Linked DNA regions of Canis lupus familiaris. The protein of the gene in region 2 binds, or shares a complex with, the protein of the main gene of each other region. Links are inferred from orthologs where the notes say so. Each region holds a gene or a part of one and is shown on either strand. Other genes may lie near its edges.

What was found.
Region 1: CDHR2 (region 2) and USH1C share a complex: the UniProt entries of both Homo sapiens proteins name them as parts of the IMAC/intermicrovillar adhesion complex. The link is inferred for Canis lupus familiaris from reciprocal best matches to the Homo sapiens genes CDHR2 and USH1C.

Annotation. Positions count from the first base shown.
Region 1 is NC_049242.1:40,760,569-40,768,663, reverse strand, and holds the start of USH1C (harmonin), read left to right. Parts: upstream 1-4,029; 5' UTR 4,030-4,146; coding exon 4,147-4,182; intron 4,183-8,095. UniProt on the Homo sapiens protein: Anchoring/scaffolding protein that is a part of the functional network formed by USH1C, USH1G, CDH23 and MYO7A that mediates mechanotransduction in cochlear hair cells. Required for normal development and maintenance of cochlear hair cell bundles.
Region 2 is NC_049225.1:37,631,145-37,639,139, forward strand, and holds part of CDHR2 (cadherin-related family member 2), read right to left. Parts: intron 6,922-7,995; coding exon 6,852-6,921; intron 6,704-6,851; coding exon 6,098-6,703; intron 5,319-6,097; coding exon 5,247-5,318; intron 4,567-5,246; coding exon 4,517-4,566; intron 3,137-4,516; coding exon 2,985-3,136; intron 2,848-2,984; coding exon 2,739-2,847; intron 2,648-2,738; coding exon 2,559-2,647; intron 2,114-2,558; coding exon 2,045-2,113; intron 1,938-2,044; coding exon 1,860-1,937; intron 1,778-1,859; coding exon 1,717-1,777; intron 1,637-1,716; coding exon 1,512-1,636; intron 984-1,511; coding exon 870-983; intron 788-869; coding exon 707-787; intron 508-706; coding exon 450-507; intron 1-449. UniProt on the Homo sapiens protein: Intermicrovillar adhesion molecule that forms, via its extracellular domain, calcium-dependent heterophilic complexes with CDHR5 on adjacent microvilli. Thereby, controls the packing of microvilli at the apical membrane of epithelial cells.

The sequences.
Region 1 (8,095 bases), on a different chromosome or scaffold from region 2:
GTACAGGACAGGATTGGAAAGAGTACATGAGTCACTTGACCCAGAGACCAAAGAAATTTGGCAAAGTGAGAAAATAAACTATTACCTCTCCTGAAAGAAGGGAGAATGCCAGGAGGGTGGGAGGGCAACGGTACAGACTCAAGAGATTAATAGTTTGCGGTTCTCCTTCCCATCCACACAATGTGAGCTCGTCCTCACAAACCCCACCGAGTGGCCCAGTTCTTGTCTTTCCCTCTCAAGGCACACTAGCTGGAGCACTGCTCAAGGTATGGAGTGGGGCATCTTACCGGTTTCATACCTTCCCAGATCAGGCCAGTAAGAGGGAACTCCACTCGCCTAAACCCTCACCTTTGTGCTTTCACCCCAGGGTGGGGGAGAGTTCAGCTATGTCCAGATTGCATCTTAGTGCCCTCCTCCCCAAATGAAATAAAACAAAAACAAACTGAACCAACTACAGGCAGGGTCCCAAGAGATTAGGTAAGTGGGAATAGAAGTGTATCATGAATTTGCATACTTCAGACATATACTAGGGACACTGTCCCCCTTCCAAATAACTGCAGAGACAACCTTCCTGCAACCTATAGAGCTCCCTGTCAGCCCCGGTCCCAGACAGAAATAAGCCCCTGCCCAGTGAAGCCCCCCTTCCCCAGGCCTCCTCTTACCTGGCTTCCCATCACTGTTGTAGCATCCTTTATGGCAAGGGACACCTCCTGCTGTCTGTGGCTAGGATGAGAAACAAGCCTAAGGTGAGTGAGGGAATAAGAATGAGCCATGCCTTCCCCACCACCCCCAAGGACAGCCCACCCTCTGTGCTAAAACGCTGGGATCATCCACACCAGAAATAAAGATGGGAGTCATGGGTGGGGCAGCCACAAGCTTGCACCTACTCACCTGGGATCCTGGGCTGGGTCAGGCTGCAGCTCTGCGTTGCCCTGGGGTGTGGGTGCTAAGCCTGGGAAGGGGGATTGCTTTCCAGTCAAGCCAGGCCTCCCTTTCTTGGGTCTCCCACCTCCTGTCCTGGATCTTCTAGGATGCATCTTCACCCCCTCATTCTCTCTCCCTACAGATTTCAATCCGTTTCCCTCTCTGGTGACCTCTCCAACAAGGGTCTCCCACTCTCCCCCTACTCTGTGCCCCTGTTCCCTCCAGCTCGCCACCCTGGGTGCCTTCCATCCTGCCTAGCTTGGGACTCCCTTCTCCCGGCTGTCTCTGGCCTCTTTTTCCTTGGCGCCCCTCTCCCTCTCCCCTCTCCCCTGCCCTCCCCGCAAACCTCCTTTTCCTCCCTGTCTAGAACCTCCCGTCACCGTTCCCCCTACCCCGCGGCCCCCTCCAGCCCACTGCCCTGGCACCGAGAGATGGCACCCGCAGGGACCGGCCGCCGGCTCACCCCGGGGCAGCCAGACGCAGGCCAGCAGCAGGCAGAGCGCCGGCGAGGGCGCGCCCAGGCCCGGGGACCCCATGGGGCGCGCGGAAGCTGCGAAGCGGGAGCGCACGGCCGGCCGGCCGAGTCCCTCGCCTGCAAAGGCCGGGTCACCCTCCGCTCGGCGCCTCGGCTCGCTCTCTGGCCCCGGGCCTCCGCCCCGCCTCCCAGGCGCTTGGCTCCTCCCCGAGCTGGAGCGACTGGATGCCCAGCTGCCCGGCTCCGCCTGTGGCTGCCCCTCCCCAGAGGGGGCCGCATTCAGATCAGTGGGCTCCAAGTACCCCGGGGGAGCAAGGAGGTAGCCAGTGCACCCCGCAGCATCCCTTACTCCTCAAAGATCCCCATCTTAGAAACCTGGGTCTCTGAAGGCCCTTCCGTTGGACACCCACGATGCTTGTGGAAGTCTGGTCTTCCACTCTCCTTTCACAGAGGCCCCGGGGCCTGCCACTCAGTGGGCAGTTGTCAGTGGCAGAACCAAAGCTCAAGCCCGCAGAATCCGGGCCTGTGCTCCCACCACTCACTACTACAGCTTCCTGGGGCTCCAAGTCCCTACTCTACCTCCAGTTTTGAGCACCTCTAGGGAACGGATAGTGACTTAGTCCTCTTTATGTCCAGCACTAGTTCAGGCCCCAGCTGAGAAAATATTGACTGATGATAGAAGTGCGTCACACTTCCATATTACCGCTCCCCTCGAGACCAGACTTTAACAACAACAGCAACAACAAAATGAAAAAATAACCAAAAACAAATGAAAAAACAAAACACCGATTTAATTTTGTGAACAAGATATACTCCCTGTCCAGGAGGAATGTTAATGCTAATGCTAGAACTGTGGGATTAGGAGCCTTGGGAACCTGTGCAGCATTCTCTTGGCCAATAGTTATTGGAACACCAACCAGATGCAAGTCTTGCAGGTGATGATGATGATGGTGGTAGTGATGATGGCAGGTGGTCCCAGGAGACCCCTAGGCAGGGATATAGACTTGGGATGCATTCATTCATCCATTCATTCATCCACTCAACAAATTTATTGAGCATCTATTTCTTACCACACAGTGTTCTGGGAATATAGTGATAAATAAAGCATACAGCCCCTCACAGAGTATTTGAAGCCATGGGCATAGATGAGAGGAAGGGGAGGGAGCTAAGGATGGAAACGTAACAAGCCCTGGTTAGAGAACAGGTGAGGGCAGAGGAAGCTTGAAAAGGAACATTCATAGGAGAGGAAAGCTCTGACTCAGTCCCCACAACCAAGAGGGGAAGCATTTAAAGAAGGAGAGAGTCTATGAGGGTGGTGGTCATGGAAAACGATTGAAGTGGCCCATGGATTGCATCCCCTTTGAAAGGCCATTTGCCACTCTGCCTGGATTCCAACTATGAAATAACAGCCACACGACTTAGTTAAGAGACGCAGAACATCAACAAAGGAAGTTGGAGGGGAACATATTTGAGTGTCTTTCCTGGACCTTTGAAAATCCCACAAGTCTTCCCCTTTTATCTCTGACTTAACTAGTTAATACTAAGGTGAGGACATGGATAATATTTCAAGGTTTTTCTCCAGGAAGGATTTACATCCTAAACTAGGTGACAATTTAGTCCCAATAAAAATAAGTCTGTTGGCAAAACTTCAGATACTAGAGATAAGATGAAAAACAGGAGGGTTTTAGGTGTCCCTGAAGTTACAGTTGTAAGTGGTTCACTATTTTGGGTTGCTGTCCATCTCCCTGTCCCCTGCCCCCTGACATGGTGCAAACACCCCCCCCCCCCCGGGTTAAATCCAGGCACAAGCCCCCTGATCAAAGATCCCCACTCTCTCCCATACGCCCCTTTCTTGACCCCCTCTTTCCTCTCAGTCTGTCCCCGACTTGGTTCATCACTGTCTTTACACTCCAGCACTAGACCTAGGAGTTGAACAAACTGGATGAATTGACTCAAATGAACCAGATGGGATCTGAGCCCTGGGTAAAGGTCAGCAGTAAATCAAGATGTCACTGCCAGGCCCTTCCATGTCTCAGTGAGTGTGTGTGTGTGTGTGTGTGTGTGTGGAGTGGGGTGGGGCTAGGCAGGTGGGAGGGGAAGTCAGTTCCGGAGGGATACGGCTACCCCACTGATTCAGGCCTCTGTGAGCGCTTTAGACCCGGCCCCAAGGAATTCGCAGATCAAAGATTTCCTCCTCCGGGGAATTAGCCCGTGGAGAAGGCCATTATAGAGGGTAGGTCGGCTGAGAGAGGGATGCCCGGCAGGGGGTGAAAGCCTCAGGGGCCGAGCCAATGGCCCGCTATCTGCGGATCCAGGGATTATCCCTACCCACCCTTGTGAGAGTCTCAGGACCTCCTCCTACAAAAAAGTCCCAAGCCTCCTCCCCACGTTTCCCGAGATCCTGTCCCCCAACTGCTTGTGTTTGGAGACCCGTCCGAGGGGAGCGCCGGGCCTCGAGTCCGGCCACCGCCGCCGCCACCACCACACACACCCACGCACTCCAGACCCTTCGCTCGGGGTGTCGGTGGGAGGCGACAAGCTTCAGGACAGGTGTCCCGGGCGTCCCAGCAGCCCCGCCCAGGCCCCGCCCAGGCCCCGCCCACCGCGCCAGGCCCCGCCCACCGCGCCAGGCCCCGCCCCCCCGCTCCCGGGCCCGCGGATCTCCGCTGCGGCTCCTGCCGGCTTGGGGCCTCCGGGCGCCCGAAGGAGCGAGTTGTGCGGGCGACGCGGCTCCGCCTGGCCCAGCCATGGACCGGAAGGTGGCTCGAGAATTCCGGCACAAGGTCAGAGCTGCGAGGGGCCCCTAAAGCGTTCAGGACCCCGGAGTCCTGGCTGGGCGGTGGGGGGATGGACGTGCCCCGCGCTACCCTCCCTTTTCTAGCCCGGCCTCAGGGCTGTGGATGGACTGGGACCCCTGTGGGTGGTTTGGTTTCCAGCAGGGATCCCCAGTAAAATAAGGGAGGGGGCAGGAGGACTCCAGGTGTAGGAACCCGTGAACCGATCTCCAAAAAGTATTCTTTCTCCTTGCGCTTCCGAGGGCTGGGGCTTCTCTGGTGTTGGAATTCCTTCCAGCTTGGCCTGAGACAGGAAGCTTCTCTGAAATGCCCCGTAGTGGGCAAATCCCAGCTCCTAGTGCCCCAAGCTCAGGGCTGTTGGAGCATATGCAGAGGATATGGGACAGTGTCTGAGAGGTGGGGATTGGTCGGAAGGGAAAGTGGTCCTCTGTCTCTGTCCTTTGACCTCAGAAAACGAGCTAGAAGCACTTTAGGGAGCCCCCTCCCCATTTCAGGGCATTTCTTAGGGCCTGAGAAGCAGGTGAGGAACTGGTGCTGACCAGGGGGCAGTGGGAGGAAAGAAGGAAGTACAGAGAGTCAGCCAGAGTCTTCAGACAGAGAGCTACAGCTCCCCTGGTGTGTCCCAATAGGAGACCTCAGGGATGGTCCAGGATTCTCAGAGGCTCTCACTGAAAGCTACTGGATTTCACCCAGGGCATTTCCAGAACTGTTTCCAGAGCTGTGCAGGAGCTACTGAGGCCCTGAAGTGAGAGAGGACCACTGGCAGTAACCCCAGTGGACCTCCCCACCAGGACTCAGAATGCTTCAGAGCTCAAGGGTGAAGCCAGGGGTGTCTAGAGCTACCCACAGGCCCTACCTGAGACGACTGTGTGCCCTGAGGCCCTCACAGAGCCCAGAGGGGCAGTGTCTTTAGACCAAGCCAAACCTCTTCTGAGGCCTGAGGAAGCCGAGCTCTGGTAGGCAAGGTCCGGGTGCTTAACCCTTCTCTCCCCACAGAGAGAGGCCCAGGGGAGCCAGAGTAGCCAGCCAATGTGTGGGCCACGGGAGCTAAGTGCCAGGGGGCAGTCATTCATCTAGTAAGTGTATTTTGAGTACCCACTCTGTGCCAGACCTCCTCTGTGCCCTGGAATTGCTGGCTGCACAGGTGAGAGAGGGACCCTACGCTATGGCTGGGTGCTGAGTGTGGGGGTCGAGGTTTGGTGGAGTACAAAAGGGGAAGCTCTACTGCCATGAGTCTCCTAAAAAAAGAGGCCTTGGGGATTTCTAAGAGTGAGAGATGGCTGGAAGTTCAGCAGGAGTTTGGGGACTGGCAAGTAGCAACCGGAGCACGAGACAGGGTTCACCTGTGCATCCTGTTGCACAGGGACACGAGAAGAGAAATTTCAGCTGCTGAGGACATTTGGTGAGTGTAGGTTTCAGGCAACCCACTTTGAAGGAACCCAACCTCTGTCCCCTCCCCCAAGACTCAGGCTTGAATTTCAGTTTCCTGCCCCTGGGCAGAAAGAAGGTAACATCAGGTCCTCATTGGTTTTTTCCCTATGGGTACTAGTCTTTGCCCCTTTTTGGAGAATTACCCCTGGGGTCCGTGGTGTCTGACTGCACCCTGAGGTTAGCCTCTGTTTTTCTTCTCCAGGCCCTGCAGCCTCCAGCGGGCCTCAGGCCTCTGTATTTCCACTGCTCTGCTCTTCCTCATCACAGGAGTCATTACCTATTAATGTCCCTGTGTGTGCAGGCGGGGCAGACACCAGGCTGGGCAAGGCCCTGGGCTGGACTTTGTGCCCTGCTGCTTCCGAGACAGCAGCAGCCTTCCCCTCCCAGGTTGGAGATCACCTAGGAACTGGGGAGAGAGGACAAAGCGGCAGAGGCTACAGCTGGGGGCACGTAGCCATGCTGGGCGAAATTTACTGCTCCTGCCCATTGCTCTCTAGCTGTCCCTCCTTTGGTGTTGCAGAGCACATTTACCCCTTGGGAATGGCTTATGACCTAAATCTTTAGTTGTTGGAGGTAGCATGAAAAGTGGCATATTGTCATGGAATGTGCTGTGTGGCCTCGAGCAAGTTATTAACCTCTCTGTGCCTCTTTGATTTGTTAAATGAGGATAATAATAATATTTAGCTCATAAAGCCCTTGTGAGTGTTGGAGGAGATCTACATGCACGTAGGGAGTTTAGTGAGTCCTCAACGAATGTCTGCTGTTGTTATTATCTGATGTTAGGCAGAACGGGGTCCAATCTCAACCCTGCCACTCACTGCCAGTGAGACCTTGGGCAAGTCATTTAATCTGGGCTATCGTTTCCTCAGCTGTGAGATGAGGTTCACAGTGCTTACCTCAGGGGGTGATTAGGACTAAGTAGGAATTCAAGGACCAGCTACTCAGGACCTATAAGTAACCCTTTGGTCCACAGCCACCTGGAGATTCCTGCTGAGCACCCTGGTGGATGTGCCAGCAGGCTCCAGGCTGGGGAGGAGAGTCTGTTCCTCTGGGCTTATGCAGTTTCCCCAGGACATCCGGCAGCACTTTCATGCCCTTCCCAGCAACAGCCTTGGGCCAGGATACCAAGGAGAAGGAAGGGCAGCATCAGAGACTAAGGCTCTTCCCTAAAGAACCAGCTTTTCAAAAGAAGGAGGCTGCCCCTCTGCTCACTGCACCTGCAGGTTTCAGGAATTTGGTTACTCATTTGCCCAAAAGGGCTTTATTGCCTAGTTAGCAATCATGCATTTATGGATATCCGTGGTTTACCCTGCCCGAGGCCAGCCAGGCACCTGGGGGTAGAAAGAGGGGATAAATGAGGAGGTCAGAAAGAGCCTCTGCCTTCCAGTGTTTTGCTAATCATACATGCATGCATGTCATAAACGTTGACTGAGCTCCTAATATTATGCCCAGCAGTACTCTAATCATTGAACAATAAAACAGAGTCCCTGGCTCCTTAGTCAGGAAGACAGACAGTTAACAAGTAACCCAATGCAAGTATCATATAATGCAAAGTAGTGATAAATGCTATGAAAAAAAATAAACTGAGATGAGAGGATAGAGAGCAACCAGATGCGTCAGAAAGGTCTCCTTGAATCTAGAAAGAAGTAAGGAAGGAGCCTTGGGGGTGTATTTGAAAGAACATTCCAAGAAGAGGGAACAATAACCTGAGGCAAGTGTCTGCTTGCTGGCTTTAGGAACAGCAGGTGGGATGGTGTTTCTGAGAGGAATTATGGATTGAATAGAGTGTGGTGGGGGCTCAGTAGGCCACGGTCAGGACTTTGGGTTTTGTTCTCCAGCGATGGGAAGGCAGCCATGAGGGGATGGCTTTCCGTTTAAAAGGGGTTGTTCTGAGTGCTGGTAGAGAGGAGACTGAGGGGGCCGGGAGCAGAAGGGGGATAGGAGACAGGAGGTGAGGGCTTGGACTAGCATGAGGAGTGGTGAGACCCAGAAAATTCAGGAGAAGATAGATCTGACAGGCTCTGACGGTGGGTGGCTCTGGGTGTGGAGAGAGGCATTGAGAGGGAGTCTACATTTTGGGAGGAGCGTGCTGATGGGGACAAGAGGGGAGATAGCAGAAACCAAGAGTTCCATTTTGAATGTTTTGAGATGCCTGGTCAACCATTGAGCCAGTAGCTATGGGAGTCTGAAGATGGCGGGAAGAAGTCTATCCTGGAGCCTCAGTGCATCCTTGAAGGATAAGTGATCGTTCAAACCCTGGAGACCAATGAGGTCACTTAGGGACATGATGCAAATGAAGAGAAGGCCCAGGACAGAGCCAGGGCACTCCAACCTTTCGAGGAGAGGAAATGGGGAAGGAACAGCAAATGAGATAGGAGAAGCAGAGAAGGAGGGCATGGTGAGCCATGCTGAGCACTGAGTCAAGTGCCACCAGCTAGCTAGCAGGACACAAGTGTCTTAAAAAGATGAA
Region 2 (7,995 bases):
AGCAAATTATGGCACTGATGTTTTTTTTGAGCCTAATTTCTTTCCTTTACTAGAGTATGTCTACCTCCGGATTTCTTCCCCACACCCCACCAGCTTTCATACAAAGGGTATAAACAGAGGGAACCAGATTTTTTAGCTCTTACTTCATGCCAGGTGGTTTTATAACTGCTCTAACTTCATCCTCAAAAAGCTCTGCGTGGTTAGAATTCTGATCCCCATTTTCAGATGAGAAAACTGAGAACCAGAAGGAAGTCACCCACCCGGAGTCACAGTGAATGAGTAGAAGAGCAAAAATTAGACCCCATTCCAAAGCCATGGGCTTCCCATGGCCTGGTGTGGAGACATGCCAGTGTCAGAAGCAGGTCCTTCAGCTCTGTCCTGAACCCCACTCCTTTGAAGAAGGACCCCAAGTCAAGAAGCCCCAGGCACCAACTCATCCCCCATCTTGCCTTGATTTTCTCCTCGTTCTTTTCCACATCGACAGAGTTGTCATCCAGGGAATTGAGACTGTGGGAGAGATGATGGAGCTCGATGGTTAGTAGCCCGAGTCTTCCCTGTCTATGGCCTTGAACCACCATTGCCTCCACCACCATCACCACGATGACCATCTCCACCTCTGTCACCATCACCTCCACCATCACCACCACCACCTCTACCACCATCACCACCACCACTGACCAGAGTGGCTGTGAGAATCACTGCTCACCTCATGTGGTCTAGGTCACTGGAAGAGGATTGGGACTCGAAGCTCAGGTCCTTCGTGGGGAGGTTCAGCACAGGGTTGGCCCTGGAGAGAAGGCCTAATTCAAGCACTTATGAACCTGAGACACTCCATGGAGACTCTCACCCACCCTTTGACCCCTGCTCACCGCTCAGTGGTGTACATGTTAGTCCCAGGGATGGCAGAGACTGAGGGCATCACCCCTGGTGCTGTCCTCCGGGCCTCCTTGGCAGCCTTCGTAGCCCGAAGCTTCCGGCGGTAGCTGCAGAGAACCAGGGGGTGGGGGAGTCATTACTTTCTCTGGACACCCACTGTGCGCCCAGTGCAGGCACTGAGAGTGTGACTTCACAACACCCTGGCAGGTGTGAGTGTTAGTACCATTTTACAGAGGGTACAAGTAATAGCCAGAGAAAGAAAATGGTTTGCCAAAAGCCACAGCTGGCCGGTGGCAAGGCCTGGAGTCAAATCCAGATGTGGCTGCTGACTCCAAACATATTGGAAAGGGGAAAAGACAGTATTTATGAAATGCACAGTATGTGCCAGATATCTTTCTGGTGGCAGGATGCACACTGCTTCCTTGTGTGCCTTGAGGAATCTAGTGTTACATTCATTCTGCAAAGGAACTTGAGGCTCAGGGAGGGGAGATGACCTATTCAAGTGGTCACCACAGGTCTCTGGGGATTAAATTCAGATATACCAGGTGCCTAAACCCAAGCTTTCTCTACCTGCCAGATGTCTTAGATGGTGGGAAAGGCGGAGTTGGAGATACAGGGGGAGATGGGAGCAGTACCTCTTCCGGGTACACATGAGCGCCGTGGTCATAATCACGATGATCAGCAGCAAAGCCACTCCCAATCCTATGATAACGTTGGTGAGCAGCTTTGGCAGGTCCGACTCCTGGCTCTCCTGGGAGCCCTGGAGAAGTATGAAGGAGGTTGGGTGTGAGCATTCCCCACCCCCCACTCCCGCATTAGCTCCGCCATGCTGACACTCACCAGCACCACCAGCCCCAGCTGCAGCAGCTGCGTCAGTGAGTCCTGGTCATTCCGGATCATCCTGGCCATAGAACCTCACTCAGACCCGAGGGACATTGGCATTCCCTAAGCTTCCTGCCCACCCCAAGGGGAGCCCCACTCACACACTCAGCTCATCAAGTGTCAGGGCTGACCCATTTGAGAAGACAAAATAGGCATCAAGGTAAGAGCGTCCCCGGGCTCTGGAATGGGGCAGGGGTAAAGGGTAAACAGTCCAGAACCACCCAGGAGGCCCCTCATGTTTCTGCTTCTTGTCCTCACTCCAACCACTGGGCCTGTGGACACTCACCGAACTGTGGATTCTATGTCCTGAATGCTCACAACGTAGACAGTAGTCCTGGTGGCCTGAACAAGAGCCCTGCAAAGGGGGAAGATGTCACAGAAGCATGGGGTAGGGGCCTTAGTCTAGGCCTATGGCCAGGACTCTACCAGTGGAATTAGGAATTGTGTGAATTAAAAAGGGGCACCTCCTCTGGACAGCTTCATTGGCTATTCAGGTAGCACCTCTGTGCAAATTAGACAAGGCAGCCCCTTCCTCTGGGGTTGGGTTTACGACTTAGCAAGCAGAGTGCCCTTGTGCAGTGCACAGCCTTCCCAACTATACATCGCAGCCCTATTTAGGCCTCTCTCTGCCCAGCCAACCCTAGGCTCCTAGGAAATTGAGAGAGGAAATGCAGGTATAGGTACAGACCAAAGACAGGGACAAAATCAAATGTAGGTCAAGGACAGTTTTCACATACATCCCGTCCATACTCCCAGGCCCTGTTCTTCCCCACAGCCCCCTCTGGGCGCCCCAAACCTACGCAGTAATCTCCTCCATGTTGGCGCCCACCTCCTCCTTGTTCATGGAAAACTGCAACCTCACACGGTAACTTTGGTCCACAGTGAAGAGCTACAGGAGGAAGACATGGGGAAGATGAGACACAGAGGATGCAGGAGCTGGCAGAGAGTATTGGGGTCTAGAGGCAGGGCCCAACACTCACATTCAGGGAGATTTTGGCTTCCTGAGCAGGACCCACTGAAGGTCTGTCCTGGGCCTGGACTGTCACTTGGTAGGTGCCTTGGAGAGTGGAATCAAGGTTGGTCACCAGCCTATTGAAGGTAGAAGAGCACAACTGAGTCTTGGAACTCAAGCTGGAGTCCTCTGGAACCTACTTATATACCTCCCAGGGTGGGAACTGTCTTGAGGCCCCCTTACTGCCCCCCATCCAGGGGCTCCCCACAGTTACTCAATGTTGCCAATGAACAAGTTGGCTTCTGAGGAGGTAGAGACCCGGAAGAAGCCCTGGAAAGGGATCATGGCCCCATCCTTAGCGATGAAATCCACTTGGAGGATGGAGAACAGAATGGCCCCGTTGTTCCCTGAGTCATTGTCTCTGGCCTGGGGGAAAGAATAGACAATACCTAGGGGTCAGGCCAGGCCCCCTTTCTTCCCCAGCAGGAATCAGCAGCTGAGAGGGCCCAGGAGTCTGGTCCCAGTATCTCTATCAGCCTCTTCTAGGCCACCTCAACTTAGCAAACACCTTAAACGGCGTGCTTGCTCTGCAAATCCAGATTTGAACAAGTCTCTGCCTTTGGGCCCCTAACTCAACGGGTCACGGTCCAAAGTCCATCTGATGTGGAAATCCTGCCTTGCTTCCCCCCACCCACTGCCAACACACACACACACACACACACACACACACAGGCACACACATGTACACACTTAGGGACATTCAAATTTCCTGAGCACCTACTGTGTGCCTGGCCTTCCCCTAAATCCCTCATTTCAGTGTTTACTGACAATGAGTACAAATTCCCCTAGGGGACCATGAAATGATTAGAGGAGAGGGCACAAACATTCTTACACATTCTAGTGCCTTTTAGGGAAAAATATAGCCAAGATACAGACCCGTGAGTCTACTGTTCAGAATGAGGCCAAAGCTGTTGTTTAAGTTTCAAGAATGAGTCCATGTAAAGAAAATGGCTCCAAGCTATGGCCAGACTCATGACATTAAAATGTAATTCGCTGAAGATTGGAAGACTCTTCAAGGCTTGAAAGAACCTGGAGAGAGAATTACTCTACCCATGTGATGAGAGGAAACTGGGGCTCGGAGGGAGACCCCATCCTGCTGAAGACTTAGCTAGAAGTGGAGGAAGGCCAGTCCATCCATCTTCAGTACCTGTGCTCTTCCCACAACACAGGGAGGGGCACACACATGCCACCCGACCTCTTCACCTTCCAATATCACTGCCCCCTGGCTCACTGACAGCTTCTTCCCGGAGGCAAACTGAGCCCCAGAAAGGCAGGCAGCTCCCAGGTCAGTAAGAGGCCCCACCAGGCCCGGGCACCTGGGCTGTGTGGGAGGCCTTGCCCGCCCCTGTGGTGCGGCCAGGGCCCTCTAACAAACACACCCACGTCTGACACCATAGAACACTAAAAGTATTTTTATAGTTTTACTCTGGAAATTATTTATCAGCAAGGAACTCATTTAATTTACAATTGTTATGATTTGTCTGTATGACTTGGAATTGTGGTGTAGCGAAAAAAAAATCTAGCCTGCAAATAGTTTTTATAGTCATGAAATTTTTATGACAACCAAGTAACAATTAATGAAGTTTAACCCTATCAATTAGGCAAGTGTTTGTCTCCATTCTGGGGCTTTCTTTTCATAGGTTGGAGCCAATAAATTTCCTTTGTAGTGTTAAAACATTTGGAGGGACAGTGAAAGGCCTGAAAGCCTTGGTCCTGTGTCTCCTGGGACTAATATGATGGGCTTACCTGGACAGAAGCCACCTGCTGGTTGGGCACCACAAGTTCTGGGATGATAACTACAAGTGTGGACAAGAAGGGGTCAGTGGGATCAGTGGAGTCAGTGGGGTTAGTGCCAGTGCCCACCTGGCTGAGAACTGATCACAAGCCCAGCTCAGGACGCAGTCTCCCCATATCTTCCCGCAGCCCCTCTACCATCAAAATCCCCCATTATAACAGCCTCTGAGCCATCAGTTAGCAGCTCAGCCACTCCTACTGTGCAGACGGGGAAACTGAGGCCCAGAGAGGGAGAAGCTGGCTCAGAGTTGGGGCCGAACTGTGGTGAAAAATCAGGTCTCGGGGATCCCTGGGTGGCGCAGCGGTTTGGCGCCTGCCTTTGGCTCAGGGCATGATCCTGGAGTCCCGGGATCGAGTCCCACATCGGGCTCCCTGCACAGAGCCTGCTTCTCCCTCTGCTTCTCCCTCTGCCTGTGTCTCTGCCTCCCTTTCTCTCTCTCTGTGTTTTTCACGAATAAATAAATAAAATCTTTAAAAAAAAAAAATCAGGTCTCTCCTGTTGAAACCCTGGGGGAGAGGCGAGATTAGAGGTCTTCCTTTCTACACTTGATCTTAGCCAAAAGGCTGAGAAGCGAAAAAGAGGCCTTCCTTTCTAATAGTCCACTTGGGGCCTGAGGAGGGTCTATGGGAGCTGCCCAAGGAAATCCTGGCAGAGTATGGAGGGAAAGCCTGGCCCACTTACCAAAAGTCTTATTGTCAGGCAGAAAATAGGGGGCATTGTCATTCGTGTCCTCAATGGTGATAGCGAGGCTTCCTAGAAAACAAGTTTGGCTGGTTCTGGCCTCTAGGCCCAACCAAAAAGCCTGGGGACTTGCCATGCTCCCCCCTGCCTCCCTCCCAACGTCTCCCATGCACTGTCCCCAGCCCTGCTCCTGGCCTGGGGTGCCCGCTCAGTTTCCACTGGACTTTGTGGCAGGGAATATCCTCCCCATACCTCAGAGAGGGTAAGCACCTATTCCAAGATCATCCAGTAAGAGCATCAGGCCAGGCAGAGCCTGGCTGGGGCATATCCCACCTGACCACAGCATGATACTGACATTGCTAGCATGTAAGCTAGGTTATTGAGCTGGCCACTGTGTGCCTCAGTTTCCTCATTTATAATATTGGATAGGGATCATCTACCCCACCGATTGCGTGGGAGTAACATAAAGAATGCTTTTAAGGTGTCTGGCATAGCTCTCGGCTATAGGAAATTCTCAAAATAGGCTCGCTGTTAATGTGGTTATTCTAGCCATCACAATCCGAGGTGGGATGTGAGCACTGTGAAGTGTACTTTCCTCTTTACCCTCCCTCACAAGACAGTAGCATCAGTGAAGCACTGACTCTGTGCCAGGCACCTCACTAAACACTTTACATGTGTGTTTTTGTTTTGCCTTTGCTGCCAGCCTACTGCCCAACGCCACCGGAAAAATGGGGACAGAAGCTTAAGGAGATGTCACAACTTTCCCAGTGACACAGCTGGTAAGGACTGGGGCCCCAGCCCACGGTCCCTATCCTGCAGCCCACCCAATCCCACAGGCCAGGCCGCCTCACCGTTGTCACTGTAGGCCTGGAAGCGGGGGTCCGTTGTGAGGTCATTGGCCCGAACAACCAGCGTGACCAGGTCACAGGTCTCGTAGTCAATGGCCTCACTCTGATTGATGACCACAGAGCCATTGGCCAGCACAGAGAACCAGCCGTAGCACAGGCTGCCCACGTTGACCCCGGCCTTGGTACAGATGGTATTCACAAGCTGTACCTCCAGCTGAGCCATGGTATCCACATCCTGGGGAACCAGCTCAGCCACCAGGCCGTGCTGTGAGCCATTCTCAGCTACACGGATGCCCTGGAGCGAGGCTGAGTCCAGAGTGGGTGGTTCGTCATTCACGTCCTCCACAGCCACAAGGACTTGTGCGCTGGCCTCTTTCCCATGGGGATCTGGGTTCTCGGCACTCAGTGTCAGATAGAAGGAGGCCTGTGTCTCGTAGTCCAGGCTCACATCTGCAGGCAGCCGAAGGAACCCCCCAGCGCCCCCAGACTCTAGCACCAAGCCCTGGAGCAGGAAGTTGTTGGCACCACTCCCTGTCAGGCTGAAGCTGATACGGTTGTTGGCTTCTGTCTGATCCGCATCCCAGGCCTTCACCACGCCTACCAGCTTTCCTGTGGACGAGGGCAGACTTCACAGAGACCCCTGGCCCAGCCGCTGGAGGCTTCCTCTCCCCTTACCACCCCCAAGAGCCGCAGGGAGGGCTCAGATGCCTCACTGGGCCCCAGCCCCAGTGCCCGGCCTGGCCCAGGAAGGACTTACCTGGGTCCCTCTCCTTCACCGAGAAGGAGTAGATAGACTGGTTGAAGATGGGCAGGTTATCATTGATGTCCTGTGGGCAGAGGAAGGTCTGAGCCCAGGGACACCAGGAGCCCCACAGTTCAGCCTCCCTAGAGCCAATCTGAGAGCTAGTGTTTCCTCTGACTCAAGGCACAGACTCTCTGCCAGCAGCTCCTCACTTCACAGACGAGACAAGGGCCTTGGCAAGGCTGGAACTAGCCCAGGGCACACACCTGAGACTCACAGACCTGCAGCGGGACCTCTGAAGTTAGTGATACACTTTCAGGGAGCCCCACCTCCTCCCTGCTTCTCTGACTACAACTCAGAGCCATCTCAGACTCTGCTTTCCAGAAGGGTGGCTGAGTCCCTATCAGTGTCCCTGTCTGGCCTAGCTTGACTCCTCATCTCTTGGATTTATCCTATTGGCACCAATACCACTGTTTCTACAAGGCCCTGTGGCCCAAGTTTTCCCTTGTCCCCTCTTTTCTCCTATCCCTCCTGAGTTCAGCTGACCCCAGGACATTTGCTCTGTGCTCAGACGATGCTGAGCTCCAGGCAACTGCCAGGGCTTAGGCCTGGTCCTGCCCTCAGACGCTCACTGTTTTCTGTTCTTGCCTTCCCTCTCTAGCCCTGGCCACCCACACCTACAGAGACTGCCACTGTTGTCACAGCACAGAACCACCTCTACCTGCTGCTTCCTCCCCAATCAGTGATGTTTGCTGGGGGTGCCCTTGGCTTTTCCAGACCTTCCCAGGGCAGCCCACAGATGTCTGCTTTTGGCTTCCACTTTTCTAAATAATGGTTCAACGGACATCTTCAAGAACAAAGCCATCTCCCCCTTAACTAGATGTATTTTCCGATGGTGATTTCCCAGCACAGCATTTCTGTCTCAATGCATGTGGCCAGCTGCTCCCTAAGTCACTGGGGTGGCTAAGAGCACAGCTCTGAGTCAAATCCAGCTTCCCTTCTGCCTCACATGTGACTTGACTTCTCTGAGCCTCAATGTCTTCACCTGCAAGAGGGCTCATAGTCACCCCTCTAGGGACCGTTGTAGGTGTTTGTTTAGTTTGTTGGCGTAAAAGGACCCACTAGCTCAGTAAATGCAATTTTGCTTTCTTCCTTCTTC